Linked DNA regions of Arabidopsis thaliana. The protein of the gene in region 2 purifies or fractionates together with the protein of the main gene of each other region. This does not show direct contact. Each region holds a gene or a part of one and is shown on either strand. Other genes may lie near its edges.

Region 1 (6,378 bases), on a different chromosome or scaffold from region 2:
TGGTTCAAGTTTTTTTCTCATAAAAAGAAACACAAATCATAATAAAGATGTAGACAAAGTTATCATAATCGATCAAGACGTTAAAAAGAAAACACTAAAAAACGAAAAAAAGAAAAAGAAAGCTAGTTAGGGTTTTGATTCATGGGCTCATTCAAAAGCCCATTGATTCTCCTTACGAACAGCTTCTTCTTCCTCAGGTGTAAAATCATTCTCAATGTTGAAAGTTGAACGAATCTCCTCTGGAGTCTTGCCTTTGATCATGTCCGCAACAGTTTGGCATGTGAGATCAAGCAAGCTTTTTATGTTGAGGTAATTCGCAGCAAGGATGAGTTCAAAGATGGTGGATTGTTCGAGATCCATGAACTTCTCGTCCCAGTTGTTGAGATCCTCTTCAGAGATAGGATTAGCCTCGTCGACGTGGTGTTTCTTGCAGTACTCGATCACTTTCACAAGAATCTTGCTTTCCACGTTTGCAAGAGGGATTCCATCAGCAACGCAATCGTCTTCAACCATATGCGCTATGGTCTGCGATTGGATTGCTACCGCTTCTTCCACCTCAAACGACTGACCATCGGAGCTCATCAACACGATCATCTTCGAAGACATTGTGTGTTCCTTGTGGAGGAGGTTTTTCACTGTGAAGCAAATTTGATGAAAGATTTAAGAATTTAGAGAGCGAACAAATTGTGTTAAGGTGATGAAGTTGTGAAACCCTATGCGTCTTTGTATTTATAAGCCCTAGCTAGAGTCGGTGACAACAACATATTATAATTCAACGCGTGGTACACTACGGACAAATATTTTATTTATATATATAATAATTTTAAATTTTATAATTTTATATTTAGTAATAAAGTTATATAATTTTATATTAATCTTGTAATTAAAAAAATTAGTGATGATAAAATAATAAAATAAATATTTTACCTGTGTTATATCAATCCAAACCCGTCTCGATGTATTTCCTATCAATCCAAACCCGTTCTGCTATACTTCCCGTCTCATGATATTTTAATTTTTTATGTTTAAATATTAATAATGTTTCATAAAGGTAAAATATATCACTAATATTCTTTAAAAATAATAATTGTTTTTGACTTTAATGTGATGACATTCTTTGTAAATTCTTACTTTACTAACACAAAAGTACTTTAAAAAGTACTTCAAAAATTTTAATATATATAATGTTATTTTTTGGTAAAAATTATTATAAATAAATATTTAATTTAATCATAATTTGGGATTGATATACTTGTGTTTTTAACTAACTATTTTTTATTTTAATAACCTAAATTTAGGCATTTGTTAATATTTTTTGAATCTGCAATATCAACTTAATACATGTACAATTTATTTTTGCCAAAAAAGAGCAAAATTATTTAGTACAATTGAAACGAAAAATGTTGATTGAGAAATAATTAGGGTTTCAAATTTTATTACGCAATTATTTTTTTAATGAAAATATTAAAGCATATATTGTAATATAAGATTTGATTCATTTTATTAACTGAAAATAAATGATGTAAAACGAAAAATCAGGGTGATTAATGCTAATTGGAAAGATTTAAATGTTTTTTTTTTTTTTAATTTCATAAATTTTAGTAACATAATAGATTTTATATTTATATTTAAAAATAAGTTTAGTAAAATAATAAATGTCAATGGCATGCCATAGTAAATAAGTGCTAAGTGAAGATTTATTTGTTAAAGTGGCTGCAAAAATGTATATATAGATAGTTATTGTTTCTAAAAAAAAAAGCAATTAAAAAAATAACGAAATACTTATTTTCCTTAACTGAAAGAAATAAGTAATTTTATGTTGCTGGGCCTTTATATGAGTTTTATTATGCTGTTGTAACTTTACCATGGTTGGGTTAAAATGAAAGAATGAAAAAAAAAAAAAAAAAGTAAATTAATTGTCGACTCATTTTTCATAAAAGGTAATTTCAGTTGAGTAAACCAAAATAAACCAAAAGATATACGAAGATTCAACAGTACACCCATCCACGCGCGGCTGCGTTGAATACTATACGGGGGGTGTCAACAGGTCGACCTACCAAAAACAATGCATCTAAGCAGTTGCAAAGACACACTAAGCAAATCTTTCACGTGCAATAAATTATACTTACGTCACAGCCATCAGTATATCCTTTCAAATATTCCTCCTCACAATTGATGTATTTACATGTGTGTAAGTTGACACAAACAAATCACTTGCCCTGAAAACTAAAACTCTCGAGTTTTTTCAAAAAGAAAGTCCAATTCAATTTAAATTTGAAGTCTTCAATTTGTTTTCAAATACTAAAAAGTGCGGCTCTCCCTCTAGTGTATGGCCTCGTTTACTAGTAGTGCGGGGACCTTTTAATCTTTTATTACTACTTGTTGCATTCAAGCATGAAGCATGGACAGACACTCCCTTAGAAAGAAAAACAAAATTATGAAATTTCCTGCTTCATTTTGAAATTTCTGCGGAAACTTATGATTTGGATATATTATAAACATAGTAACTCCTCTACATTAAAAAAAAACATTACAAGTCTTCTTTTCATTTGGGACATAAATGTTAAAATCTTTTATAGATACTGTATTTAAGTCAATGATCTGATTATCTGACAGACATCGTGAGACTCCTCATGCCATCAAAATAAGGCTTCTTCAAGATCTCTATTTGCATTGTCAAAAATCTTCAAAGCTGTAAATAATTTTCGAGTAATCTTTTGTTCTCGGTCAGAGAGATATGTAATAAATAAAGTTTACTTTTCCTCAAAGTTGTACATTTTTTTTTATTTTTTGTTGGTTTGGCAATTTTTCCGGTAAACTATGCAAATTCTATTCGCCGAAACATTTTGCAGATCACTAAACCAAACTGAATCACACGCGCGAGCCAAATGCGCGTGAGATTTCATCACCTTCGTCAAAATACTATCACATCACACCAAACCCCTGAGCCGACTATAAAACCTTTTAGATCTCTCCCTCGTGTTATAACTCCGCCACCAACAATATTTTTCTCTACTCAATTCACTCACACTCCAAAAGCGGTAGCAATGTCAGCCACCGCCGCCGCCTCCTCCTCGATCGCCGTTGCCACCAACTCTCTCAGGAACGTGACTCTGTCTTCCAGATCGCCCCTTCCATCAGCCATCTCCGTGGCTTTCCCTTCCCGTGGACGCAATACTCTTCAGCGACGCCTCGTTCTCGTTTCCTGCAGTACTGGAGACGGATCTAAGCCTACGATTCTCGTGGCGGAGAAGCTCGGTGACGCTGGTATTAAGCTTTTGGAGGATGTCGCGAATGTCGACTGTTCGTATAACATGACTCCTGAGGAGCTCAACATTAAGATCTCGCTCTGTGACGCCTTGATCGTGAGGAGTGGGACTAAGGTTGGCCGTGAGGTGTTCGAATCGTCTCACGGACGGCTCAAGGTTGTTGGTCGCGCTGGTGTTGGGATCGACAACGTGGATCTGAGTGCAGCGACGGAGTTTGGGTGTTTGGTTGTCAACGCTCCGACGGCGAACACGATCGCTGCCGCTGAGCACGGAATCGCTCTTATGGCCGCCATGGCTAGGAACGTAGCTCAAGCTGATGCGTCTGTTAAGGCTGGTTAGTTCCTTTTTGATTCATTGCCTCAATTTCATACTTTCCATATGTTGCGAAATATTTATTGATTATGTTCTTTCTATACCTGTGATTGATGGCTTGTTGTGTTTATTAATTTGTATCATGAGCTTTCCTTTTCCTGTACTGTTGTTGACGATGGTGAAATTTAGGATCGTTACATTTGCTGATTCTTTTGAAATTGAGTTTTGATCATTCTTGTCTGTTATCTAGCTGACTTGTGGATCTTGGTTTTAATAATACCATTGTAATGCAGGAGAGTGGAAGAGGAACAAGTATGTAGGTGTTTCACTTGTGGGAAAGACCCTTGCAGTGTTGGGATTCGGGAAAGTTGGGACGGAAGTTGCTCGTCGTGCTAAGGGTCTTGGTATGCGTGTCATTGCTCATGATCCCTATGCCCCAGCAGACCGTGCACACGCCATTGGTGTTGACTTAGTGAGCTTTGATGAAGCCCTTGCCACCGCGGATTTCATTTCTCTTCATATGCCTCTTACGCCAACAACATCGAAGATACTAAACGACGAAACCTTTGCCAAAATGAAGAAGGGAGTTCGAATTGTTAATGTTGCTCGTGGAGGTGTCATAGACGAAGATGCGTTAGTGAGAGCTCTGGATGCTGGTATTGTTGCGCAGGCTGCACTTGATGTTTTCACCAAAGAGCCTCCGGCTAAAGATAGCAAGCTCGTGCAGCACGAGAGGGTCACTGTGACACCTCATCTTGGAGCTAGTACCATGGAGGCTCAGGTGTGCAATTCATTTTACAGTTCAGGTGATAATTAATCATGAAATTTCTGTTTGGCTTCTGTTATATAGTTGGTGTTTTGGCTTTGACAGGAAGGAGTTGCCATCGAAATTGCTGAAGCTGTTGTTGGAGCTCTGAATGGAGAGCTTGCTGCTACTGCAGTCAATGCACCTATGGTTTCTGCTGAGGTGAGCACTCGCTTGTGCTAGTAAATACACACATATTGGTGTTGTTTCAAAGAGGCAAACTTATCAGCCTATTTACTGTAGCTAGCCTGGGAATGAATGTAGCAAATTATATTTGTTCCGAGTTGGTTAGAAAGAAGTTAGTGAGCGGCAAAATTGTTGAAGTGAGGGTGGGTTTTCTAGGGATTTGTTTTAAGAGCCTCATTAATCAAGTTTCTGTGATTTCTGAATTGGATTTTAGACTAGCAAGGTTTATAGCTTTGTTCTTATCAGATTCAAGTTGGAAGATTTCAATTGTTAAGACTATCCATGTTTGTTATTTGCTCAAGCTTACATGCATTCTATCTGCAGGTTCTGACCGAGCTGAAACCATATGTGGTGCTAGCCGAGAAACTAGGAAGACTGGCAGTGCAACTGGTGGCCGGAGGAAGCGGTGTGAAAAACGCGAAAATCACATACGCCTCAGCAAGAGCCACTGATGATCTTGACACCAGACTTCTCCGAGCCATGATCACCAAGGGAATCATCGAGCCAATCTCTGACGTATATGTCAATTTGGTCAACGCTGATTTCACAGCCAAGCAGAGAGGTCTCAGACTCTCAGAGGAACGTGTGCTTTTGGATGGTTCACCAGAGAGCCCATTGGAGACAATAACTGTTCAGCTAAGCAATGTGGAGTCCAAATTCGCCAGTTCCCTGTCTGAATCAGGAGAGGTTAAAGTGGAAGGAAAGGTTAAAGACGGAGTCCCGCATTTGACAAAGGTTGGATCTTTTGAGGTCGATGTAACTCTTGAAGGTAGTATCATACTGTGCAGGCAGGTGGATCAACCTGGTATGATCGGGACTGTCGGAAGCATCCTTGGAGAGTCTAATGTCAATGTTAACTTCATGAGCGTTGGGAGAATTGCACCGAGGAAGCAAGCGATTATGGCGATTGGAGTAGATGACATACCAAGCAAAGAGACACTGAAGAAGATTGGGGAAATTCCAGCGGTTGAGGAGTTCGTTTTCCTCAAGCTCTAGTTTGGTGTGTTGTTGATTCTTGAATCTTAAATCTCACCGGTGAAGATTTGATGTTGTTTGTTGGTTTAGGCAATAATGTTATTTTGGCTTTCATACAGTTTTGGTAACGTTGAGAGTAGTGTCTCTTTGATGTTTCAACTTTATGGTTTCTATTACTTGAGTGCTTCTTTCTTCTCTGAATATTTATTTCCTGAATATTAGTGACCACAAATTGGTTTATAACCCAATTGAACGAACCGATGTAACTATCGTAGAGAATCTGTTAATTAAGCCAATCCAATTTTTCAAAATTGGTTTGGTTTGGTTCAGATTAGGTTCGGTTTGCTCTAAGAGATGCAGTTGTTTGTGAAACGCCACCGTTTTGGAAAACTGTGTAGCTCGAAAAGATACGAACTTAATGAGTGGAGAGAAAACACGTGTCCTCAGCTTGAACAGATAATTCTGCGACTCTTGAGAAAGGAAGACGAAGGAAGGAGAATAGTAGAAGAAGAAGAAAGGGAGAGTCTTGTGATATCTACGTAGAAGGAAGATGGCCTTATCTCAAGTGTCTGCGTCTCTCGCCTTTTCTCTTCCCAGTACTCTTTCTTTCTCTCTTCGCTACCCTTCTTCTTCCTCTAGTTGTACAATTGTCTCTATAATGTATGTATCTGACTAGTTTCGGATTTCATGTTTCCAGATTCTGGTGCCCTAAAGCTAGCCACAATCACAAACCCAACTTCTACATGTCGGGTTCATGTTCCGCAACTTGCTGGAATCCGATCCACCTTCGCTTCTGGTTCTCCTCTCTGTACGTCTTCCTTGCCCCTGAGA
Region 2 (6,293 bases):
GTAAAAAATACACAAGGCCCATATGGTCTGACGGCTTTGTTTTATCAAAGGTTTTGGCACTCTTTAAAAGAAGATTTGGTTGGTTTGGTTAGAGATTTTTTCCGAACAAGATCTTTTGATAAGAGAATAAATGAAACAAATATTTTTTTAATTCTAAAGACGGAAAAGCCACAGAGGATGACAGAGTTTAGGCCAATAAGTCTTTGTAATGTGAGTTATAAGTTTATTTCAAAAATTCTTTGTTTGAGGCTTAAAAATATTTACTTCGGCTAGTCTCTGAAACACAGTCGACATTTGTTTCAGGTAGACTTATTATAGATAACATTATGCTAGCACAAGAAATATTTCATGGACTACAGAGGAATATATTGTGTAAAACGAACTTTTTGGCAATAAAAACGAATATGAGCAAAGCGTATGATAGGATAGAATGGGAATTTTAAAGGTAGTTATGACTCGTTGGGAATCAGTTCTAATTAGATCTCTTGGATCATTTGGAGTGTTAGTTTGGTCTCGTATCAAGTTCTAACGGGAAAGCAAGAGGAAATATAATTTCCAACAGAGGTTTACGATAAGATGATTCTCTTTCCCTTTATTTGTTTATTTTATGTATGGAGGTTCTGATTTCTAATATTAAGAAAGCGGAGCGAGAGAAGATGCTAACCGGCATTAAACTAGCTAAACGAAATCCTTCTATTCCACATTTGCTTTTTGCGGATGATAGTATTGTAAAACAGATGCGGAGGAATGTAAAACGGTGATGGGTGTTGTTATAAATTATTGTAAAGCTTTAGGACAAGAAATAAATTTCAATTAATCATCGGCCTTGTTTGGTAAGCGTGTTGCAAAAAAAAGAAAAAAAAGAAGAACTTAAAAATTTCCTTGGAATTACTAAGGAATGTGGAATGGGTACCTATTAAGTATACTAGAGAGTTTAAAGGGTTCAAAAAGTAAAATTGTTAACTATTTTGGGAAGATTTAATGAACGGGTTAATGGTTAGTCAGCTAAGTATCTGTCAAAATATGGGAAAGAGACAATGATCAAGTAAGTCAATGAGTGCAATTTTGAATTACTGGTGGAGTTCTAATGGAAGAGATTGTAGGATTCATTGGATAGCATGAGAGAAAATGTGTATGGATAAAGAAGGAGGTTTGTGATTTCATTCCCTAGAGAGTTCAATGATGTGGCTAAACAGTATTGACGATTGATACAATATCTAAAATCTTTAGTAGCTCGAATGTTAAAAGATAGATATTTCAGGAATATTCATCATTTCCAAGCAAAAAGAAAAAACAAACTCACCATCATTTGGCCGAAAAAGTATTTTTCGACTAAAAAGACATGTTGAGATGGAAGCAAGATGGCCCTTGGATCAGGTTTCAATCTATTGGTCTGTTTAATAACCATAATTTTTTATTGGTTTGAGAATCATTGACCACACACAACTTATATAATTCATGACGCTTAAGATCAAAACGAGGCTCTAGATTAATTGAAACTCAAAAAAGAAACATAACACAACGATCAATAAACTGATTCTTGTTTTCCCATTGGATTTGGGAAAAGAAAATCATAATACAACAAGCAGAATCATCTACACCAATATGATCATATTATTAATGTCCCAAGTGCACAGCATCATCCACGGCTAGTGCCAATGCAGCAGCAGCGCCAACATATGTGTGTGGAGTTAGCTTCAAAAGTTGGTCTTTTGCTTCTTCAGGCAATTCCAAACTTTTAATAAACTTTCTAATGCTTTCTTCATTCACAGCTCTTCCTCTTGTTAGCTCCTTCAGCTTCTCATACGGCTCTGGAACACCATATCTCCTCATCACCTGTTTTTTTTATTCCTTCAGTTACCAATGTACATGGAATAATAACTTGATCATTATAATAAGACTAGAAAGTTTCGAGAAATTTACAGTTTGTATCGGTTCAGCGAGGACTTCCCAAGTATGATCCAAATCGTCTTTTAACCGAGCTTCATTAACCTATATCAAGAACATCCTTAGTCTATGACAAGTGAAGACCTTTCTTTCTTAGGGCAACGGAAATAATAATACCTGAAGCTTCCCAATTCCCTGTATCGCGCTCTTGTAAGCCAGAAGAGAGTGTCCTAAAGCTCCACCCATGTTTCTCAAGACAGTTGAATCTGTTAAATCACGCTGCAGATATGTACATTTAAATTTTCAGGCTTACTTACTTCTACACCATTACTGTTAGCAAGATCTAGTGGAGTATGCTCAAACCTGCATTCGTGAAATGGGAAGCTTCATGCTGAGAAAAGCAAGCTCTGCATTTGCTTTACCTAGATTCCCTTCGCTGTTCTCAAAGTCAATAGGATTCACTTTGTGAGGCATTGTCGATGATCCGATTTCACCCGCTTTAGTTATCTGCATCAAAATTTCAAACAATGAGACAGATTTTCCCATTCCTTTTCAAATGACTCGGACATATTTTTGTTAATACTTGCCTGCTTAAAGTAACCTAGAGATATGTAGCTCCATATATCTCTGTCAAAATCAATCAAGACATTGTTGAATTGGCTAATTGTATTAAAAAGTCTAGCCATATAGTCATGTGGTTCAATCTGCAAAAACCACCAGTGAGGAACTTTACAAATCATTCCACCAGGAAAAATTTGATCAAGAGAAACTATATATATACCTGAGTCACGTATGGGTTAAATGTTAATCCAAGAGAAGTAACAAACTCCTCTGCAACATGAGGCCAGTCAATATTAGAATACGCGGAAATATGCGCGTTGTAGTTTCCAACAGCACCCGCAAATTTCCCCTTAATCTTAGTTTCTGAAAGATATCTCCTTTCTACACTTAACCTCACAGCAAAAATCGCCATTTCCTTCCCCAATGTTGTAGGTGAAGCTGGCTGCATTATAAATCATGACCATTGCTTTAACAAAGAGATAGATAGAACTGAAAAATAATACTTCTCTTTGGACATTACCTGCCCATGAGTTCGTGAAAGCATAGGTACATATGCAAAGCTCTTAGCCATCAGAGAGATAGACTTGATCAACTCATCCATGGTAGGAAGTATAACCGAACTAAGTGCTTCTTGAAGCATCAAAGCATGGGAAAGATTGTTGATGTCCTCAGACGTACAAGCGAAATGGAAAAACTCTAGAACCTAAAGACGAGACATTTAGTCAATGCATCATCAATCAAAGCATCCAAACCCTAAGAAGAGTAAGAAACGGTTTCTAACCTTAGCAATCTCTGGATGTGATTCACACTTTTGTTTCAAAAAATACTCCACTGCTTTCACATCGTGATTTGTCACTCTCTCAATCTTCTTAACTTGCAATGCATCATCCATACTAAATCCATCGATTATACCTTGCAAGTACTTATGAGCTTCTTTGCTAAAGCTTGGAACTTCAGTGACTTGAGGTATATTTGAAAGCTTAATAAGCCATTTGATCTAACAAAAGTACAAAGTTGAAGACTTTAGCTAACTACTCAAACAAAACCAATCTTCCTAATCAATCAATGAATCAGAACATAACCCAATACCTCGACAAGTACTCGGAAATAGATCAATCCAAACTCGCTCATAGAAGAAGCCAAGTCCTTAACTTTTCCCCAATAACGTCCATCCAAAGGCGATAATGCTGTTAAATTCGACATCTCAAAGTCTCTGGAACTTGCACTAGCCATTGCTATCAACTAAAGTATATTCATTTATCAGATTACATACAAAAACCCACAAAGTAAATAGGCTTGAAACTAGAGAAAGGCTTTACCTTTGTTGAAGTCATTAGCTTGAGAGAATGAGGAGAAGAAACAGAGAATGAAACTCTTGGAAGATGAGACAGAGATTTTGATGGGTTTAAAAGACTTCTTATGGGTATAAGGCCGGAACAAGGGATTTTGGTGGCCATCGAAGATAAATTGAGCTCCATTTTTGTGTGATTTAGGGTTTATGGCAATTTACTCGAAAACAGAGCATATAGAGAAGAAGAAAGAGAGCAATATGAGTGCGAGATCGGTTCGCGGTTTGGTTTGGTTTGGTTCTGCTATTTATTTTATCGGTTATACAGAAATTAAAATCATTTCTAATTTAGTTTGGTTATCGTTTTGTTCTTGATTTGAATTAAGTTATATTTGTTTGCGATTTTTTTTTTTGTCATCTGAATTTTATTAAGAACCAAAGAAAGGATATAAGTTAAAATTACATATGCCGGCAGACGGAAGAGGGAAGTTTTGCCCAAACAAATTTGGAGAAACTAACGTACACTAGCCTTAGGGCCAGACTGGTTTAAATACAGCGGGTACGGTTACGGTTGCGGGAGTTTACGGAAACGGGCGGTTGCGGTTTCAAGCGTTATCAAGTGTTTTGAACGACTGGTTGAGCGTTTGGTAATGGGTGCGGTTGCGGGAGTTTTATGACTGGTAAACCAGCGGGTGCGATAATAATTAAATAAAAAATAACCAAAATAAATATAATATATTACTATTAAAAGAAAAAATACAATATATTATTATGATAAATTGATAATATTTGAAAAATTAAACATGCTTAATAATTAAAACCATAAATAAAACTGAAAATTCAAAAATAAATAGATTTTGTAAGAAAAAACTTAATACTTTATGCATTTGGTAAATCACCAAAAATTGCATCAAGTAGTGTGATAAACTGTAAATAACGTTGACCTCACGGGTTTTCTAGATTGCCTCTATACATATGATAAAGTTTCTTCAAGATATCCAAACGATTTTTAACACATCTCCAACTCAAAATTTTTCCAAACGTTAATATTCTTAAGAATATTTTCTTTTTGAACATCACTTAGAAATCAAAGTCTTTGAAGTAACGCAAATGTGGTCTCGTCTGACCAAATGATTTTCTAATCGAGAAAACAAATCAAAACATGTATTCAATCAAAAAACACAAAAAAAACCAAAAAAAAAAAAACGATGCCATGAAATATTCCGAGAATTACACTAGCTAATGAATGGATGAAAGGATAGATCATACTTACGTTTGATTCTTAATTTTGACTTTGATTTTCGTCAGTTTGGGTGGATGCCATAATTGAGAGAATAGGGTTTCAATATATTGATTAGGGTTTTCTGATAAGAATAAGTATAGGGTTTGGGTGGAAGATATAATTATTTTAATGAATTAATTTTTTTTTTTTTAACTTAACCGCTACCGCCCGCACCCGCAAACGCTTGCGGGAATGAGCTTTTGAAATCTGGCGATTTCGAGCGGTCCAAAGCGGTATCTAGCGGTTTCTATGATTGGTGCCAACCGCTAATAACCGCTACCACCCGCAAACGCAGCGTTTGCGGGTGGCAGAGGGAGAACCAATCAAGCCCTTAATATACAAACAGAAACCAATGTAAGAAAAGAGAGAACCACTGAACCACATAGGAAAACATTGAAACCTAAGCGCTAAAATTGAACAAAGGAACGATAGATCTCGCCAAGCTTTCCTATAGAACCTGTGAACGTCGGAAGCACCAATAAGACCATGGAGACCTCACACCGACGTCAAACCAAAAAATAGCAAAACCGATAAAGAGGAAAGCAAGTAACCATCAATACTAGAGACACAAATACAACCACTATCATACCTCACAAGCCAATACGAAGAAAGCAACAAAACATTAGGAAGAAGGCAAAAAACTTGAAAATCAACTAGAGATAAGTCAAATAAGATCAATAACTCTTTACATGCGGACACTCGTCGAAACAGCTTCAGCCAACTACATACATAAAACTGACGACGTCCTCACAAGAGAAGAGCTAGAGAATGATTCCATTGTTTCGCCAAGAACTAGTGTCGTGTCTAAACTTATCGGGGGTTAAGGCAAAGTTGATATTAGGACTTTTTTAAATAAATAAATAAATAAACTAAAAAAATCATTGAAAACAAAATAATAATATAACTAAGACTTAATTTTTTTTTCTTCATTTTTAATTAACGCTCTCACCAAATTTTCATAATTTTATGTTTTTTGGGCTCCAATTAGATATGATCTCAAATACATGTTTCTAAAGAGTTCAAATTTTTTTTATCATCAAATCAGCACAATCATTATTTATAAAGAAAGCTACATAAAGATGAATTAATATATGTTAAGTTAATAGATATTTAGAAGAGTTGAAGTAGGTTAAAAGAAATAAAGTGAATAAAGAAAAACATTAAAAATCAGGTTAGTCACTTTTTAAGAGGAATAAAAATCCTCTTAATTACATGTCAATGCCGTTAGAAAAATCAATTCAACGTTAAATTCGTTTCACATCATTAAGGTTAGCA
Region 3 (7,619 bases), 7.5 Mb from region 2:
TCTCGATTGGACGCTGTTGTTGCTCGACTCGATACCCAGGCTAAGATGGCTACCATCACCAAATCGATGACCAACATTGTCAAATCCCTCGAATCGTCTCTTACCACTGGTATTTCACATTCTCACTTTTCAGCAATCTAATCAATTTGGTTTTGTTGGTGCTCATAGCATTATAGTATAGATTGAAAAATTCTGCTCCTTGTTGTTGTTTTTGCTGATTGAAGGATATGGAATCATGCATTAGGGTTTGGTTTGATGAAATATTAGAATAGCTCTCTCTCACCGTCATGGATGTTCTGTGATCTGTGATGAATTTTTGTTGCATTTCTCTCCTTTTGGTAAGTGTAGTATAGAGGGAGAAGAAGATAGGGCTTATAATACTCTTATACGTTGTGCTGTAGCAACTCGTGTTATCATTTTCTGGTTTGTTCTTTGCAACAGGCAACTTACAGAAGATGTCTGAGACGATGGATTCGTTTGAGAAACAGTTTGTGAACATGGAAGTCCAAGCTGAGTTCATGGATAATGCAATGGCTGGCTCTACTTCATTGTCGACTCCAGAAGGAGAAGTCAACAGCTTGATGCAGCAAGTAGCAGATGATTACGGTCTTGAAGTTTCTGTTGGACTACCTCAGCCTGCTGGTCATGCCATTCCTACCAAGACTGAAGAGAAAGTTGAGGAGGATGATTTAACCAGGAGACTTGCCGAGCTTAAAGCCAGAGGTTAATTAGCTAACCTAACAAAAAAAAAAACTGTATTTGGATTCTTCTTTTATTGAGATGTTGATGCTATTAATCCCTGAACATGATGGGAATGTTTGTGTAAATTGCTCACCCTGGTACATGCTTTTGTTTATATAAAACCTAGAGTGTGTTTTTACAATGAGAAATTTCATCATCTGCTTAATGGTTTGGATTAGTTGTACAAATGTTAATTCTCCAGATGTGTCTCTGGTAGTAGTTCCACCAAATTTTCCAGGTCCAGAAAGGAATACACTGGAGTAAAAGGTATATTCTTTCCAAGGAGAAGAATGTTTATAGTACTCTTGGTGGATTGTTGCAGTTGTCAACTTGGGAGAGAGGATGATATGGTGAAGTCTCCTCCCTCTCTCCCATGTCTTGTTCATTGCAAAGTCTTGTTCTTTCATGTTTCTTTTCATATACACTTGTTAATGAATAAAGTTGAAAAAATTCGTGAGGAAAAGTCCGAATCTATCTTCTCTGCAAAAATAAAATTAAGTAAAAGAAACATAAAGTTATGGTTTAAAGATGCTTTCGGAAACTCCATCATTTTAGTGGGAGAATCACATAAAAGATTGGTCGTCAATTATTTTTCTTTTATTAATAAGGATGCACATGATGATGAATATTAACCGTAATATACTAATATAGATGACAATGTATTTCAGTGCTAAATTATAGTAACAATTAATTGAATGCTTAAATGAATCTTTTATTATATACTACTTTATATGTGTTTTTTTTGTTTTAATTGAGACAATGATGATGCACCTAGACAAGAACGTCCTACTCTCTGTGCATGTGCTTCTCATTTTATTTACTCTTTTACCAAACAAACTGTTCAACTTAATACATAATGTTGGTAGCCCACAATGTGAAAGATTAAATTAAAACTCATCCATTACCTCCTGTAAGCTCTATATTAACCACTTTAGCTCTTCTGCACACACTCACAACAACCAATCATATTTATTATTAAAAAAAAGAGTCATGGCATTTTCATCTTCGTGTTCGTCCGTCAAAGCCGTCAACTCACGGTGGACGTCTCCGTCTCCGTCACCGTCTTCTAGATTCGCCGTCCTCCCTGCTTTCCTTCACCGCCGTTACGCAACAAGCGTCAAACTAACGGCCATAAGCGCCGCCTTAAAAACCGTCGAGCAAACGACGTTAACAGAGGATAACAGATTCTCAACCGTCGGATCTGACTCTGATGAATACAATCCAACTCTTCCAAAGCCGAGGATCCTCGTCACCGAGAAACTGGGAGAAGCCGGCGTGAATCTCCTCAGGGAATTCGGCGACGTTGACTGCTCTTACGATCTTTCGCCGGAAGATCTGAAGAAGAAAGTGGCGGAGAGTGACGCTCTGATCGTGAGAAGCGGAACTAAAGTGACGAGGGAAGTGTTTGAGGCGGCGAAGGGGAGGTTGAAAGTGGTCGGAAGAGCCGGAGTTGGGATTGACAATGTTGATCTGCAGGCGGCGACGGAGCACGGGTGTTTGGTGGTTAATGCTCCAACGGCTAATACGGTGGCTGCTGCCGAACATGGAATTGCTTTGCTTGCTTCTATGGCACGTAACGTTGCTCAGGCCGACGCTTCTATTAAAGCCGGTACGTTCCCGGTTAGCCATTTTTTTTTTGTTTTATTGAAATGAGACATTTAACCAATTAACCTATCTAGATTAACTTAAAGCTTATACTATGTTTCACACCATGGAAAAGAAAAAACTAATCTAACATGTTTTAGTCTCGCAAAGATTACGAGATCTGATGAAGTCCAAATTATCTTGATTACAAAAAAGAAGAATTGATTATCATTGATTAATCGATAGATATTGAATATTTCGTTTTGTTCATATATTGAGAAGAGTTAATGGTCCATTTGAATAATTCCAGTATAGTGGCGTTACTCGTAAGTGTTTCTTCGTAATAATTGCTCAGTTGATCTTTGGAGTTATGCATTATAGCATAGAAGTGGCAATTTGTCATTGGATAGTAGAAAAGTCATGATTAGAAGCAAAAATAAAATTGGTTTACGTAAGTAGAACAAAAGGGGAAAATCATATTTGATCCTCTCCCTGTAAGATGGAAAAAACAAACGAACCTGTCAAATGTAAAATAATGGGTCCATTTACTGCAAAAAGTAAAAGTCGGGGCCCTGAATTTTGGGGCCGCCAGTAACCTCATTTTACTTTTCTCCGAGTCTCTCACCAACCACAGTACAGAAATTAAATTATTGGAGTCTCTTTGTCTATTATTGCAAACTTCTTGTTTTGTTTTGTATCAATCAACTAAGATTTAATCCGCTGTTTACCGCAGACAATCGGTTTATTTGATTTTTATATTAAATATTTGAATAAATTTGATATTTACATTTTATAAATATAAATTTTTGAATCAAACATTACTAAATTATAATTGGAGGAATATATTAAAATGTGTTTAAAATGTGTATTAATTAGTTATGTATATGTAATTTTAGTAAAAGTAAAGTATTTACAAAAATATAAGATTCACAAAATTATTCATAAAATCTGTTTTTTTAGCCGGTTTAGATATCAATTTATAACTACAATACTAATTTTGATTGTAGGTTTAGATTGAATCGAATCATATAAAGTTTAGGAGATTGTTAAGACCATATTACCTTTAATGATTTTGAACAACAAAAAACAAAATCCAAAATTAAAATCAAAATTGTAACTAATTAGACAAAATTTCAATTTGTACTTTCCAAAAAAGGACAAAAAAAGGGATTGAATCATCTTATTTGGAATTTATTACAAACCCATGCATCGGTAACTGAAGAAATAATTCGATTACCTGATATATTCTCTCTTTAAAGTTTCAATCTCACGCGTCACAACCCATCAGTTCCACCCATTTTGGAATTTGTTTTTTTTTTTTTTTTCCATTTTGGAATTTTGTCATGGCAAATATCATTTTCTCGAGTCTTTGTTGTCTTTTTTTCTTTTTAAAAACTTTATATTCGTTAATAGTTTATTACAATTTTTAAATTACCTTAATTATTGATTCGGCGTATATAGTGCAACTTGATTAGCAGAAGAATATGGGATTCTTTTTACAATATACAAATTTGTAGATATTTTAGTACACAATATACAAGTGGGTCATTAAAAAATAATCATGCATCATAATTGATAAGACTCAATTATTTGTTTCTGGTACTACTGTTAAGGTGGAATTGTCGTCAGTCAAAGCATCAATATACGATCGAGACAGAAACTGAGAAAGTGTAGACATTACAATACCATTATCTCTTCTAAGTCTTAATCACTTTCACTTAAAAATCACTTTTGTAAAATTTGAGTTATTCTTCTTCTTCTGTAATCTAGTAAAAAAAAAAATTCTAAAAAATAAAATCAATTTGAGTTGAACTGAGATGACTCCTCCATCAAGTAATACCGAGGCGGTTTCTGAAATTTGGACATTTGGATATTTTTACAGGAAAATGGGAGAGGAGCAAGTACGTCGGTGTATCTCTCGTCGGAAAAACCTTGGCCGTGATGGGTTTCGGGAAAGTTGGGACGGAGGTGGCGAGAAGAGCCAAAGGTCTAGGCATGACCGTTATCTCCCACGACCCTTACGCGCCAGCTGACAGAGCCAGAGCTCTCGGTGTCGATCTTGTTTCATTCGATCAAGCTATCTCCACCGCCGATTTCGTCTCCCTGCACATGCCTTTAACTCCGGCCACCAAAAAGGTCTTCAACGACGAAACTTTCTCTAAGATGAAGAAAGGTGTGCGTCTCATTAATGTCGCTAGAGGTGGCGTCATCGACGAGGATGCACTCGTTAGAGCTCTCGATGCCGGAATCGTTGCTCAGGCAGCATTAGATGTGTTCTGTGAGGAACCACCATCGAAAGATAGCAGACTAATTCAGCATGAAAATGTTACTGTGACACCTCATCTTGGAGCTAGCACAAAAGAAGCTCAGGTATCATCACTCTCTTGATCTTGTTTATGTTACTTGTTTCATCTCTCTACACTTCTTTTCGAGTTTATATAATTCCAATGTGATATTTTAGGAAGGTGTAGCCATTGAGATAGCAGAGGCTGTAGCAGGGGCATTGAAAGGAGAGTTATCAGCTACTGCCGTCAATGCTCCAATGGTGGCTCCTGAGGTCTTGTCTGAGTTGACTCCTTATATTGTCTTAGCTGAGAAGCTTGGGAGGTTAGCTGTGCAGTTAGCATCTGGAGGTAAAGGAGTACAGTCCATTAGGGTGGTCTATCGGTCAGCTCGTGACCGAGATGATTTGGATACTAGACTACTTCGTGCAATGATCACAAAGGGAATCATTGAACCGATCTCAGATTCATATGTCAACTTGGTGAATGCTGATTTCATAGCTAAACAAAAGGGTCTTCGTATTAGTGAGGAACGAATGGTTGTTGATTCATCACCAGAGTACCCTGTTGATTCCATCCAAGTTCAGATTTTGAATGTGGAGTCAAATTTCGCTGGTGCTGTCTCTGATGCTGGTGATATAAGTATTGAAGGGAAGGTGAAGTACGGAGTTCCGCATTTAACTTGTGTCGGATCATTTGGTGTGGATGTGAGCCTTGAAGGGAATCTGATACTGTGCAGGCAAGTGGATCAACCAGGGATGATTGGACAGGTTGGTAACATACTTGGAGAACAAAACGTGAATGTGAATTTCATGAGTGTTGGAAGAACAGTGTTGAGGAAACAAGCGATAATGGCGATTGGAGTTGATGAAGAACCAGACAACAAAACACTTGAGAGGATTGGGGGTGTTTCTGCGATTGAAGAGTTTGTGTTTCTTAAACTATAAAGTTTGAGATGGAGTTGCATTGTGGTGTATGGAGAATAAAACTGTGACCCGGATTAAGGTGTTTTATCCAGTGGTTGTTAAGCTGTAGAGAATCTGTGGTGTTGCGAGCGAGTGTGTGTATCTTGGTATTATTACATTGTTCTTGTTTTGCTTTCTTATGGTATGTAATGCCTTTGGTTAATGTCATGTTTCTCTTGTAAAATGCTTTTGCTTATATTTTACGATGAACCGTTGGACTTGAAAACAAAATTCCTCCATCACTACTCAATGGATTCGCATTTGGGTCTTTGGGGGTTTTAGTCTTAGGATGTAGGTGGCCTTGTGATCTTGTGACAAAATGCAATCTGCAAACCTCATTGGAATCTAATGTGAAAACCCTTTGAAGTTAAATTCAAATTTCAACATCATGTAAAGGAAATATACCAAAGAAGTGGAACATATATAAAACTTAAAGAAAAGTGATAGAAGACAGAACAAGGACCACCACTCTCTAAATCCTTATGGTGAAAATCACATTTTCTTTGTCAACTATGAAAATTTATGAACTACAGTATAATTATAGGGTTTGGTGATGGAGACATATATAGAAGTTGTTATTAAATTCGTTTGGGACCTGCAAAAGTGACGACCAACCAACTTAAAATCGAAATGGACAGTATGATATTTCCAAAATAAACGTGTTAAAATGTTACAAACGAATATTGTATACATTAAAGAAAGTATGATTCTTCGTTGGGACTTTTTTGACTTCTCAATACCATGAGACGACCAAACCAAATTGAATTCAGTTAAGGAATTAGATAGATTATAATATGTAATGGTGCACGTCGAATGATTGAGTTATGTTGGTGGAATGAATATAGAATATCAATTTAAAGATGATCATTGAGTCTAATTAAGTTGAGAATGCGTGTTATCTTATTTTAGTAAGAGTAATAGCATCCTCCCAAAATGATGACATTTTGTAATAATGAGAGAAATAAACATAATAATTCCATAAAAGAGAGATATACAAGTGGTTTAAGACTTTTAAATAGACTGATGAGTGCTCCACTATCTTAATATTGTTAACAGGGAAGATCAAAATTAATCTCTCAATCAGTTTTGACATTATGTTTTTAATAAACCATTTTTGTTTTATGTGAATATGGTTTTGTTAATAAAGTACTAGTTAAAATTCTAGTGTAGACGACAGATACCAGAGATCTTGATTAAATTCCAATATATAATGTTTATGAAAGATTTAAATCTAACAAAGTAACAGTAGGATGAAATGTCAATAGAAAATTAGCGTCCAAAGAAGCTTTCTCTTGAATAAGCTAAGAAAACAAAACGTGGAAAATGGAATATTTAAAACCACGAAACAGTCTCCGAGTAGTAATGGAAATAGCGAGAAAGAAACACGAAACAGCGTTGAAGGTCGCCAATTCGTAAAGTTAGGTTCACAATCTCTGACGAAGAGTTAACCAAAAAGCGCGCTCTTTTTCTCTCTCACCAAACTCATCGATCGTTTCTTAAATAATGCAATCTGTTCCTGTCACTAAATCCAGATACCCTTTCAAATCCAAAAGCTCTCTCTTTTTTTTTTCCGCCTCTCATTCTGGGTTCAAGGGTTGTTGAGTGAGGTTACTACGTACGAGTGTTTCATATTTCAGTCTCTTGAGCTCTAATCTCAAATGAGGAATCTTGGGTTACTCGAAATTACTCTGCTTTGCTCTCTCTTTGTCTATTTCCGTATAGATTCTGTCTCTAGTTTAAACTCAGATGGTTTGGCTTTACTCTCGCTTCTCAAGCACTTTGATAAAGTCCCACTTGAAGTAGCTTCGACGTGGAAGGAGAACACATCTGAAACCACTCCATGTAATAATAACTGGTTTGGTGTCATTTGTGATCTTTCTGGTAATGTCGTCGAGACCCTTAATTTGTCTGCTTCTGGGCTTTCAGGCCAATTAGGTTCTGAAATTGGGGAGCTTAAGAGCTTGGTCACATTGGATCTCAGTCTTAACAGTTTCTCTGGTTTATTGCCTTCCACTTTAGGAAACTGTACTTCACTTGAGTATTTGGA
Region 4 (9,248 bases), on a different chromosome or scaffold from region 2:
CACGCGCCATCGCGTCTCACTACGCACGCTCTCTCACTGGCTTCTGGTTTGATGTTATCGTCATCCTCCCTGTCCCTCAGGTGAATTTTCAGAACAACCTTCCAACTATTCCAATATTATGAAATTAACCCTAAACTTTTTATTACTATCAATAAAGCCCATATTTACATTTGAAAGTGTTACCTGTTGATGAATCATGATTTGAGATGCAGATAAGATGTGAACTTTGTGTTTTTGCTTGTTTGCAGGCAGTGTTTTGGTTAGTTGTGCCGAAACTGATAAGAGAAGAGAAGGTTAAGCTGATAATGACGATTCTGCTGCTAATATTCTTGTTCCAGTTCCTCCCCAAGATTTATCACTGCATCTGTTTGATGAGAAGGATGCAGAAGGTCACTGGTTACATTTTTGGAACTATTTGGTGGGGTTTTGCTCTTAATCTCATCGCATATTTCATCGCTTCTCATGTAAGTCCTCTCAAGCTAGATATTGTATTTCTGCCTGAATATAATGTCCTGCAACAATAGGTTATATTCAGGTCCTAAAACAAATGCAATATAACAAATCCCATGTGTATATATATAGTACTACTAAGGTCTGTCCTAAGATATGAAATTAAAGTTTGTTGTTTATGGAAATTCTGGTGGTTTCAGGTTGCTGGGGGATGTTGGTATGTTCTCGCAATACAGCGTGTTGCTTCTTGCATAAGACAACAATGTATGAGAACCGGGAACTGCAATCTGAGTCTGGCTTGCAAAGAAGAGGTCTGTTACCAATTTGTGTCACCGACAAGCACAGTTGGATATCCATGCTTATCTGGAAACCTTACCAGTGTGGTCAATAAGCCTATGTGCTTAGACTCTAACGGACCATTCCGATATGGTATCTACCGTTGGGCACTTCCAGTCATCTCCAGCAACTCTCTTGCGGTTAAGATCCTTTACCCCATCTTCTGGGGCCTAATGACTCTCAGGTAATTGCTTTGTTTCTGAGCTTAAGGTTTACATCTTGGATATAAAAAAATTCTCTGATTGACATACTGAATCTGTTTTGGGGGTCGCGTTTTACAGCACATTTGCGAATGATCTTGAGCCCACAAGCAACTGGCTCGAGGTTATTTTCAGTATAGTTATGGTTCTAAGTGGCTTGTTACTTTTCACGCTGTTGATAGGAAACATTCAGGTAAACTATGCAAGAATATGTCTTTTCTATGATATTGTGTTTTCATGGAATGTAAGATTTTAAAAAGCTTTTTACTTTACAATATTTTGAAGGTGTTTTTGCATGCGGTAATGGCGAAAAAAAGGAAAATGCAGATACGGTGTAGGGATATGGAATGGTGGATGAAACGTAGGCAGTTACCTTCCCGGTTAAGACAGAGGGTTAGGCGATTTGAGCGGCAGAGATGGAATGCCTTGGGTGGTGAAGACGAGCTAGAACTTATACATGATTTGCCTCCGGGTCTTCGAAGAGATATCAAACGATATCTTTGCTTTGATCTCATTAACAAGGTACTAGGAAGCAGACTTTATACAATCTTGTTAAGACTTGTGAAAGCAGTAAGTGTTAAGTCTCTGACATGTTTGATCTTTCTCAGGTGCCATTGTTCAGGGGCATGGACGACTTGATCCTCGACAACATTTGCGATCGGGCTAAGCCTCGAGTCTTCTCTAAAGACGAAAAGGTACTCATCCCATCATTTCTAAAAATTTATATTTCCAATATTTTGCTTCGGTTTCGGTTTAAGAGTTTACTTGAAGAGTAAAATCTGAGGTTCTTCGATTTTGTTGATTGTCACAGATCATCCGTGAAGGAGATCCTGTACAGAGAATGATATTCATCATGCGTGGACGAGTCAAACGTATACAGAGCCTAAGCAAAGGCGTCCTAGCCACTAGTACACTAGAACCAGGCGGTTACTTGGGCGACGAGCTACTCTCATGGTGCCTACGTCGCCCGTTTCTGGACCGTCTTCCCCCTTCCTCAGCAACATTTGTCTGCCTAGAAAACATCGAGGCATTCTCCCTCGGATCCGAAGATCTTAGGTACATTACCGATCATTTCCGTTATAAATTCGCGAACGAGCGGCTTAAGCGGACCGCAAGATACTATTCCTCAAACTGGAGGACGTGGGCAGCGGTAAATATTCAGATGGCGTGGCGCCGGCGTAGGAAAAGAACCCGTGGTGAAAACATCGGCGGTTCGATGAGTCCTGTGTCGGAGAATAGCATTGAAGGTAACAGTGAACGCCGGTTACTTCAGTATGCAGCTATGTTCATGTCCATTCGACCGCATGATCATCTCGAATAATAATAAAAAGTTCCAATTTTATATCGGTCCAAATAATTGTGTGTTCATTGTTCCTCCTCAATTGTTTACCTTTACTTCTTTAAAAAATCTTTCTTGGAATGATACTTCAACCTCTTACGGTTAAGTTCAAAGTAGATTTTTTGAGCAACAAAATCTTGGAGGAGTTTATCTTGGTAATTTTTTATTTTTTATTTTTTATTAGCAGTAAAAGTAATTGTCTTAATAAGTATAAACGACGTCGTTAGTAAGTACGACGTTTGCATATATCCTATATAGACTTTTTGTCCAAGCTCAGGACTTGCTAAAGCTCGTTCAGAGACTCCAAAAGAGTTCATAAACAAAAACCTACTCCCAGAAAGTTCTTCCAAATCTCTCGCCATGGTTTCTCTCTTCTTTCGTGAATTTTAGTTTTTCTAAATTTAATTATACTTTAAATTGCTAAGTCCAAACTCTTTCGCTTTTGATTCATCGGTAATACAAGTTTAAGAAAAAAAATTCTTATATTTATCTCTCAAATCGAGTTTCGAGTGTTTGATTTGATTCGTAAAATCAATGGCGACGAGCAAACCTCAAAGATCGCCGGCTGAAATTGAGGATATAATCCTCCGGAAGATATTTTATGTAACCCTAACGGAATCAACTGATTCCGATCCTCGTATTGTTTACTTGGAGATGACGGCCGCTGAGATTCTCAGCGAAGGTAAAGAGCTTTTGCTTTCTCGTGATTTGATGGAGAGAGTTCTCATAGATCGTCTCTCCGGCGACTTTTCCGACGCCGAACCGCCTTTCCCGTATTTAATCGGTTGCCACCGTCGTGCTTACGACGAATCGAAGAAAATCCAGTCGATGAAGGATAAGAATCTGAGATCGGAGATGGAGATTGTCACTAAACAAGCGAAGAAGCTTGCTGTTTCTTACTGTAGGATTCACTTGGGGAATCCTGACATGTTTGGGAACTCGGATAAACCTAGTGGTGGATTGGATAATAGGTTGAAGAAGAGGAATGTCTCTCCGGTTCTTCCGTTGATCTTTGCTGAGGTTGGTTCTGGTTCGTTGGATATGTTTGGAGCTAGTAGCAGTGGGGTTCAAGCTCCTCCTGGGTTTTTGGATGAGTTTTTCAAAGACTCGGATTTTGATAGCTTGGACTCGATTCTAAAGGAGCTGTATGAGGATTTGAGGTCTACGGTTATAAATGTATCAGTGCTTGGAGATTTCCAGCCACCACTGAGGGCACTCAAGTATCTTGTTAGCTTACCAGTAGGAGCTAAATCTCTGGTTAGTCATGAGTGGTGGGTTCCACGGGGTGCCTATATGAACGGCCGAGCAATGGAGTTGACTAGCATTCTTGGGCCTTTCTTCCATATTAGTGCGCTGCCAGATAATACACTATTCAAGAGTCAACCTGATGTTGGGTGAGTTCCAACTTATTTATGGGTTTCTATTACTGAGAATCATGTAGTCTTTGGGGCTCTTTTCTTATTGAGAAAGTTTGGATAGTAAGAATTATTGATTAGCTTTTACTCATAGTAGAGAGACTTGATCAAAAAAGGAAAAAAGCAGATATATTTGGCTTATATATGATGCCACTGTTAGGTTGTATACATATTTTAAGCATGATTATATAAATTTAGCATAGTTAGATGATCAGTAGAGGCGAAACCAACAGAAATATTAGTAAGCACTATGTTAAGTTAGAATATTGTGGATGAAATCCATTATTTTGAGCATTTTTTCTGGTCTGTACTGAAGAATCTTGATTGTCCATTTAGTATTTGACAAGGCTTAATTGTGCGAACATAAGAGTTTTCCTGATCCACCTCAGAGGATATACTTTACCTGTTATGAAAATGCTGATATATGTCTATTGTTTTTGTGAATATCAGGCAGCAGTGTTTCTCTGAAGCATCGGAACGTCGTCCCGCAGATTTATTATCATCCTTCTCCACGATTAAAAATTTCATGAACATTTTGTACAGCGGGCTGCATGATGTATTGATGATTTTACTTAAAAGTACTGATACCCGTGAGCGTGTTCTACAGTTTCTTGCAGAGGTGATCAATGCAAATGCGTCTAGAGCCCATATACAGGTAATCATCCGTTTATAAGATGCATATATACTTCGGATCTTTATTCATGAATTGCTATTGTCTCCTCTCGGTTTTATCAAGTTGGTATTTGTCTTTTTTGCTCAAATCAGCATTCTGTAATATGTTTATCTTGTATGACAGGTTGATCCAGTCTCTTGTGCTAGCTCAGGCATGTTTGTTAACCTTAGTGCAGTAATGCTCCGGCTCTGTGAACCATTTTTAGACCCACATTTAACGAAAAGGGATAAGATTGATCCAAAATACGCATTCTGTGGCCATCGCTTAAAATTAAGGTATGGTCCTCAAGATGATTCTACTTGTATTTCCTCACTGATTTTAATAGTTTCATGATGAGCAATATTATTTATGATCCACACCAGCGACTTGACCGCTCTCCATGCATCATCCGAAGAAGTTACTGAGTGGATTGGCAAAGATGCTATGGCAAACGCAAATGATGCTGGGCGAGAAAATGGGAACGAAAGTCGCTTGTTACAATCCAAAGAAGCCACAAGTTCTAGTAGTAATGCTTCTGGGCAAAATGCAAAGTCAGCAACTAAATACACTTTCATTTGTGAATGCTTCTTTATGACTGCTAGGGTCCTCAATTTGGGTCTCCTAAAAGCACTCTCTGACTTTAAACATCTTGCTCAGGTAATCATCATCACAGTTTTCCCGTCCTGGAAATATTGAAGATTTTTTGGAAAAAAAAACGACTTGTGATAAATTATCTTGCAGAAAGCTCTTATTTGATTTGGTTCCTTACATATTGTCTTATTAAGGCGTTTGTTAGTTAAAACGAGAAGGGACTATAGCAAAAACTTGAACTTAGTCACATGTTTACATTGTGAAAGTGTCATTGATTCCTGAATTTGCAGAAGATTGTTATTGTATGGTTCTTCACTTTTTCTTTTCCGCATGACGTAGGACATCTCGAGAGGTGAAGATAATCTTGCAACGCTAAAAGCCATGAGAGATCAAGCACCTTCTCCACAGTTGGAACTTGATATATCCCGAATGGAAAAAGAACTAGAGCTGTCTTCGCAGGAAAAGCTTTGCCATGAGGCCCAAATATTGAGGGTTTGTAATCATATTCTCTGCTCTGATAACATCTTCGGCTTTTCCTCTGGACCGGTAACATGATAGTAATAGCTGCCTTATCTCTATACTGTATTGAAGGATGGAGATTTTATTCAGCGAGCTCTGTCTTTCTATCGCCTAATGGTTGTTTGGTTAGTTGGACTAGTCGGTGGCTTTAAGATGCCTCTACCGTCAACTTGCCCTATGGAATTCTCCTGTATGCCTGAGCATTTTGTTGAAGATGCAATGGAGTTGCTGATATTCGCTTCAAGAATTCCCAAAGCTTTGGACGGGGTGCCGCTGGTATGCTTAGTTTGCTCTCATCAGTCTGTAGAAATTCTCTTTTTGTATTTGCACTGATGATGGTTGTTCTCTTTTCTTAAGGACGACTTTATGAACTTCATAATTATGTTCATGGCAAGTCCTGAATATGTTAGAAACCCGTATCTCAGAGCAAAGATGGTTGAAGTTCTGAACTGCTGGATGCCTCGTTCAAGGTGTTTTTCTTCCCATGAAAGAAAGCTGTACATTTGTCAATTTGTGTTGCTAATGCAACAAGTTCTGCAGTAACGTGGTCCACCATTCTAATTTTTTTTTTTTCCTGCAGTAGTTCTTCTTCTGCTACATCTACTCTCTTTGAGGGACATCAGTTATCGCTCGAGTATCTTGTCAGGAATTTACTGAAACTATATGTTGACATTGAGTTCACGGGTTCACACACTCAGGTGATTGCAAGAGATTTTGTTTAGTGGCTATAATATTCCTGGAGTAATGAACTTCTCTCTATTGCATTGTACTTGAGAATATGTTAGCTCTGGAAGCCAGAATAGCCATTTGTTCTTGCTTTTATTGGAACTGAAATCTAGTTATCCAAATGCAGTTCTATGACAAGTTCAATATTCGCCACAACATTGCCGAGCTTTTAGAGTATCTCTGGCAGGTGCCTAGTCACCGAAATGCATGGAGACGGGTAAATTCTTAGTGAGCTTGCCATGACTTTGAACTTCAACTATCATGTTCCAATGTTTTTCCAAATTTGATGTGTTACAGATTGCAAAAGACGAAGAGAAGGGCGTGTACTTGAACTTCTTAAACTTCTTAGTCAATGATAGCATCTATCTTCTGGATGAAAGTCTAAACAAAATTCTCGAGATTAAACAAATCGAGGCAGACATGTCAAATACTGCAGAGTGGGAGCAGAGACCAACTCAAGAGAGACAGGAGAGAACAAGACTCTTCCATTCGCAGGAGAATGTTAGTTGGATTATCACTTCTTATATCTTGTTTCGTACTCGAATCCCGATCCCATAAAGAACTTTGATTTTCTTTGCAGATTGTTAGAATCGACATGAAGCTGGCAAATGAAGATGTGACTATGCTTGCATTTACATCCGAGGAGATCACTGCCCCTTTCCTACTCCCTGAGATGGTACCTGACCATATTCCTGAAATGATAACCTGCCCTATGATTACCCAACTGATGAGTTTCTTTGTTTGTTTGCACTTATTTAGGTTGAGAGGGTTGCCAACATGCTTAACTACTTCTTGCTACAACTCGTGGGTCCACAGCGTAAATCTTTAAGCCTGAAAGATCCTGAGAAATATGAATTCCGTCCAAAACAGTTACTTAAACAGGTTAGTAGTGATTACAATTACTCAATTCTCCTGATCAAAGTATGTGAGAAAAAACTGACTGATATGATTGTGAACTTTGAAGATCGTTCGCATATATGTTAATCTCGCAAGAGGAGACACAGTAAACATATTCCCTGGTGCCATCTCCAGTGATGGCCGATCATATAATGAACAGGTCAGATCCTTCTTTCTAAACCAAATCCTCTTTCATAATAATAGATGCGTCTCTACTGAACTAAACAAGTGCCCGTTTTTGCAGCTATTCAATGCAGGAGCAGATGTGCTTAGGAGAATAGGTGAAGAGGGAAGAATCATTCAAGAGTTTATGGAGTTAGGCACAAAAGCCAAAGCTGCTGCTTCTGAAGCTCTGGATGCTGAAGCTGCACTTGGGGAAATACCAGACGAGTTCCTTGACCCAATTCAGGTCTTTATCTGTTGAAAGAAACACTAATTTAAACCTAAATCTTGTCTTATTACCATGCACTAATGTCTGTTCTTGTTTTTTTCTTTTCCTTTTCTTTTTTGGCAGTACACGCTAATGAGAGATCCAGTAATACTTCCAAGCTCAAGAATCACAGTTGATCGTCCCATCATTCAACGTCATCTTCTCAGCGACAATGTAAGCTTATCTAACACAATGATGATCACTGATCAGTCACATCTCTCTTTCTCTGAAGATTTTGGCTTTGTATATGATCCTCTTACTTTTGCTGCAGCATGATCCATTTAACCGAGCACATTTGACATCGGATATGTTGATACCGGACATCGAGTTGAAGGCGAAAATCGATGAGTTTGTGAAGTCGCATCAGTCTAAGAAACGGACAAGTGGAGAAGATAGCAGCAACAAGGAAAGGATACAGACTACAAACAGTGATATGTTAATTGATTAATTATGTGTTCCAAAAGTAACAAAATAATAACAATTATTCAGGACTTTTTTTTTTTACTTTTGCTAGGCTTTCTTTTCTATTAGGATTTATCTATCTATTTTAGGGCTTGCTTTCCACTTATTTGATGCCACGGGAAAAAAACTTATAAATATCATGTCTAGAACTGTTTCTATCATAAGTTCGATGTGTTCACGAGTTTCTATGCATTTCGACGTTTGTTCATGGATTACTAGTTGGCATAAGAGTTATGAGTGACCAATTCTTGAAAGGCGAAATTTCTAACTTAATCTTTGATGGCGTGAGGTCGATGCAGAAGAATGGTGAAATCAACACCACTCACTCGATTGAAAAGGCAATACGTTCGACAGAAGGATGTCTTTTATAGAATTTAAGAGTTGTACATGAAGCAAGCGTCGTACCAAAAAAAGAGTTCGAAAGAGTTTTTATAGGCGTCATTCGAAGCCTATAACACGCAAAACAGCGAGAGAATAAGACAACGGTTTCAAAATTAGGAGGAGGTAGAGTGTTGTTGTTTACGTTTAGCGAACTCGTAAGCAATGCAAATTGAGCTTCTACTGTGACGAAGTGAGAACTCAGCCATCAATATCTCTTTCTCTGCTTCCGACAGATCTCCATGGCTTCCCTGTTTCAAACCCATAAAATGTAATTAAAGCATAAACTGAACTGGAAACTAACGTAAATGATTGTCTAGCTGTGTCAATAGGTTTACCAGACGAGTGGTTCTATCAGAGACTGCGTGGTGCATCAGAATCCCTGCAGCCACTGAGACATTAAACGAATCAACCATTCCATTCATCGGAATACTGCAACGCAGATCTGATAACTCCAACGCTTCGTCACTTATTCCCCTGCATATTCCCCAATCAATCCATTAAGAAATTATGAACCCTCAAATTTGGACTAAGAGATGATATTCATTACCTGCCCTCGTTTCCAACAACTATTGCTGTTGGGCATGACCAGTCCATATCGTAAATGGAAACCTATAAGATATTACCACCAAGAGAATGTCATTCATTTTGCCTCATAAATAATGGTGATGACAAATATATACAAACAAATCTTTAGAGGTTTACCGTGTCCATTCCCAAATGAGTTGTAGCTATTCTGTAACCGCGAGACTTCAAAACTTTGAAACATTCTTTAGGTGTGTCCCAAAACTCAATGTCCAGCCATTTCTCAGCTCCCATACTCACATGGCGATTTCCGTTATACCTACACATA

Evidence for each region.
Region 1: the proteins of AT1G36280 (region 2) and EDA9 fractionate together in Arabidopsis thaliana (co-fractionation; one large-scale study listed by BioGRID). This does not show direct contact.
Region 3: the proteins of AT1G36280 (region 2) and PGDH fractionate together in Arabidopsis thaliana (co-fractionation; one large-scale study listed by BioGRID). This does not show direct contact.
Region 4: the proteins of AT1G36280 (region 2) and AT5G15400 fractionate together in Arabidopsis thaliana (co-fractionation; one large-scale study listed by BioGRID). This does not show direct contact.

Annotation. Positions count from the first base shown.
Region 1 is NC_003075.7:16,373,231-16,379,608, reverse strand, and holds EDA9 (D-3-phosphoglycerate dehydrogenase), read left to right. Parts: upstream 1-2,942; 5' UTR 2,943-3,047; coding exon 3,048-3,603; intron 3,604-3,874; coding exon 3,875-4,362; intron 4,363-4,452; coding exon 4,453-4,548; intron 4,549-4,896; coding exon 4,897-5,568; 3' UTR 5,569-5,878; downstream 5,879-6,378. Other genes in the region: SK11 (SKP1-like 11), read right to left, coding at 148-606; SEP1 (stress enhanced protein 1), read left to right, coding at 6,098-6,143, 6,245-6,355. UniProt on the Arabidopsis thaliana protein: Involved in the plastidial phosphorylated pathway of serine biosynthesis (PPSB). Required for mature pollen development.
Region 2 is NC_003070.9:13,638,233-13,644,525, reverse strand, and holds AT1G36280 (L-Aspartase-like family protein), read right to left. Parts: upstream 4,019-6,293; 5' UTR 3,927-4,018; coding exon 3,768-3,926; intron 3,691-3,767; coding exon 3,538-3,690; intron 3,446-3,537; coding exon 3,230-3,445; intron 3,152-3,229; coding exon 2,969-3,151; intron 2,891-2,968; coding exon 2,669-2,890; intron 2,592-2,668; coding exon 2,475-2,591; intron 2,395-2,474; coding exon 2,251-2,394; intron 2,167-2,250; coding exon 2,065-2,166; intron 1,993-2,064; coding exon 1,924-1,992; intron 1,837-1,923; coding exon 1,618-1,836; 3' UTR 1,404-1,617; downstream 1-1,403.
Region 3 is NC_003070.9:6,099,426-6,107,044, forward strand, and holds PGDH (D-3-phosphoglycerate dehydrogenase), read left to right. Parts: upstream 1-1,589; 5' UTR 1,590-1,731; coding exon 1,732-2,354; coding exon of another isoform or gene 2,355-2,370; exon of another isoform or gene 2,371-2,558; intron 2,559-3,650; exon of another isoform or gene 3,651-3,905; coding exon 3,906-3,993; exon of another isoform or gene 3,994-4,207; coding exon of another isoform or gene 4,208-4,218; coding exon 4,219-4,695; intron 4,696-4,786; coding exon 4,787-5,554; 3' UTR 5,555-5,816; downstream 5,817-7,619. Other genes in the region: VPS46.1 (vacuolar protein sorting 46.1), read left to right, coding at 1-109, 442-728; AT1G17744 (uncharacterized protein), read right to left, coding at 1,930-2,370; PEPR2 (PEP1 receptor 2), read left to right, coding at 7,231-7,619. UniProt on the Arabidopsis thaliana protein: Involved in the plastidial phosphorylated pathway of serine biosynthesis (PPSB).
Region 4 is NC_003076.8:4,996,519-5,005,766, reverse strand, and holds AT5G15400 (U-box domain-containing protein), read left to right. Parts: upstream 1-2,513; 5' UTR 2,514-2,859; coding exon 2,860-3,719; intron 3,720-4,190; coding exon 4,191-4,395; intron 4,396-4,536; coding exon 4,537-4,688; intron 4,689-4,775; coding exon 4,776-5,049; intron 5,050-5,322; coding exon 5,323-5,475; intron 5,476-5,574; coding exon 5,575-5,778; intron 5,779-5,859; coding exon 5,860-5,972; intron 5,973-6,082; coding exon 6,083-6,200; intron 6,201-6,355; coding exon 6,356-6,445; intron 6,446-6,525; coding exon 6,526-6,729; intron 6,730-6,808; coding exon 6,809-6,904; intron 6,905-6,987; coding exon 6,988-7,110; intron 7,111-7,192; coding exon 7,193-7,285; intron 7,286-7,369; coding exon 7,370-7,534; intron 7,535-7,639; coding exon 7,640-7,729; intron 7,730-7,826; coding exon 7,827-8,003; 3' UTR 8,004-8,278; downstream 8,279-9,248. Other genes in the region: DND1 (Cyclic nucleotide-regulated ion channel family protein), read left to right, coding at 1-80, 249-464, 651-970, 1,068-1,179, 1,272-1,508, 1,595-1,681, 1,798-2,307; AT5G15390 (tRNA/rRNA methyltransferase (SpoU) family protein), read right to left, coding at 8,512-8,646, 8,734-8,872, 8,946-9,007, 9,101-9,239. UniProt on the Arabidopsis thaliana protein: Ubiquitin-protein ligase that may function as an E3 ligase in conjunction with specific E1 and E2 ligases. May also function as an E4 ligase mediating the assembly of polyubiquitin chain assembly on substrates monoubiquitinated by another E3 ubiquitin ligase.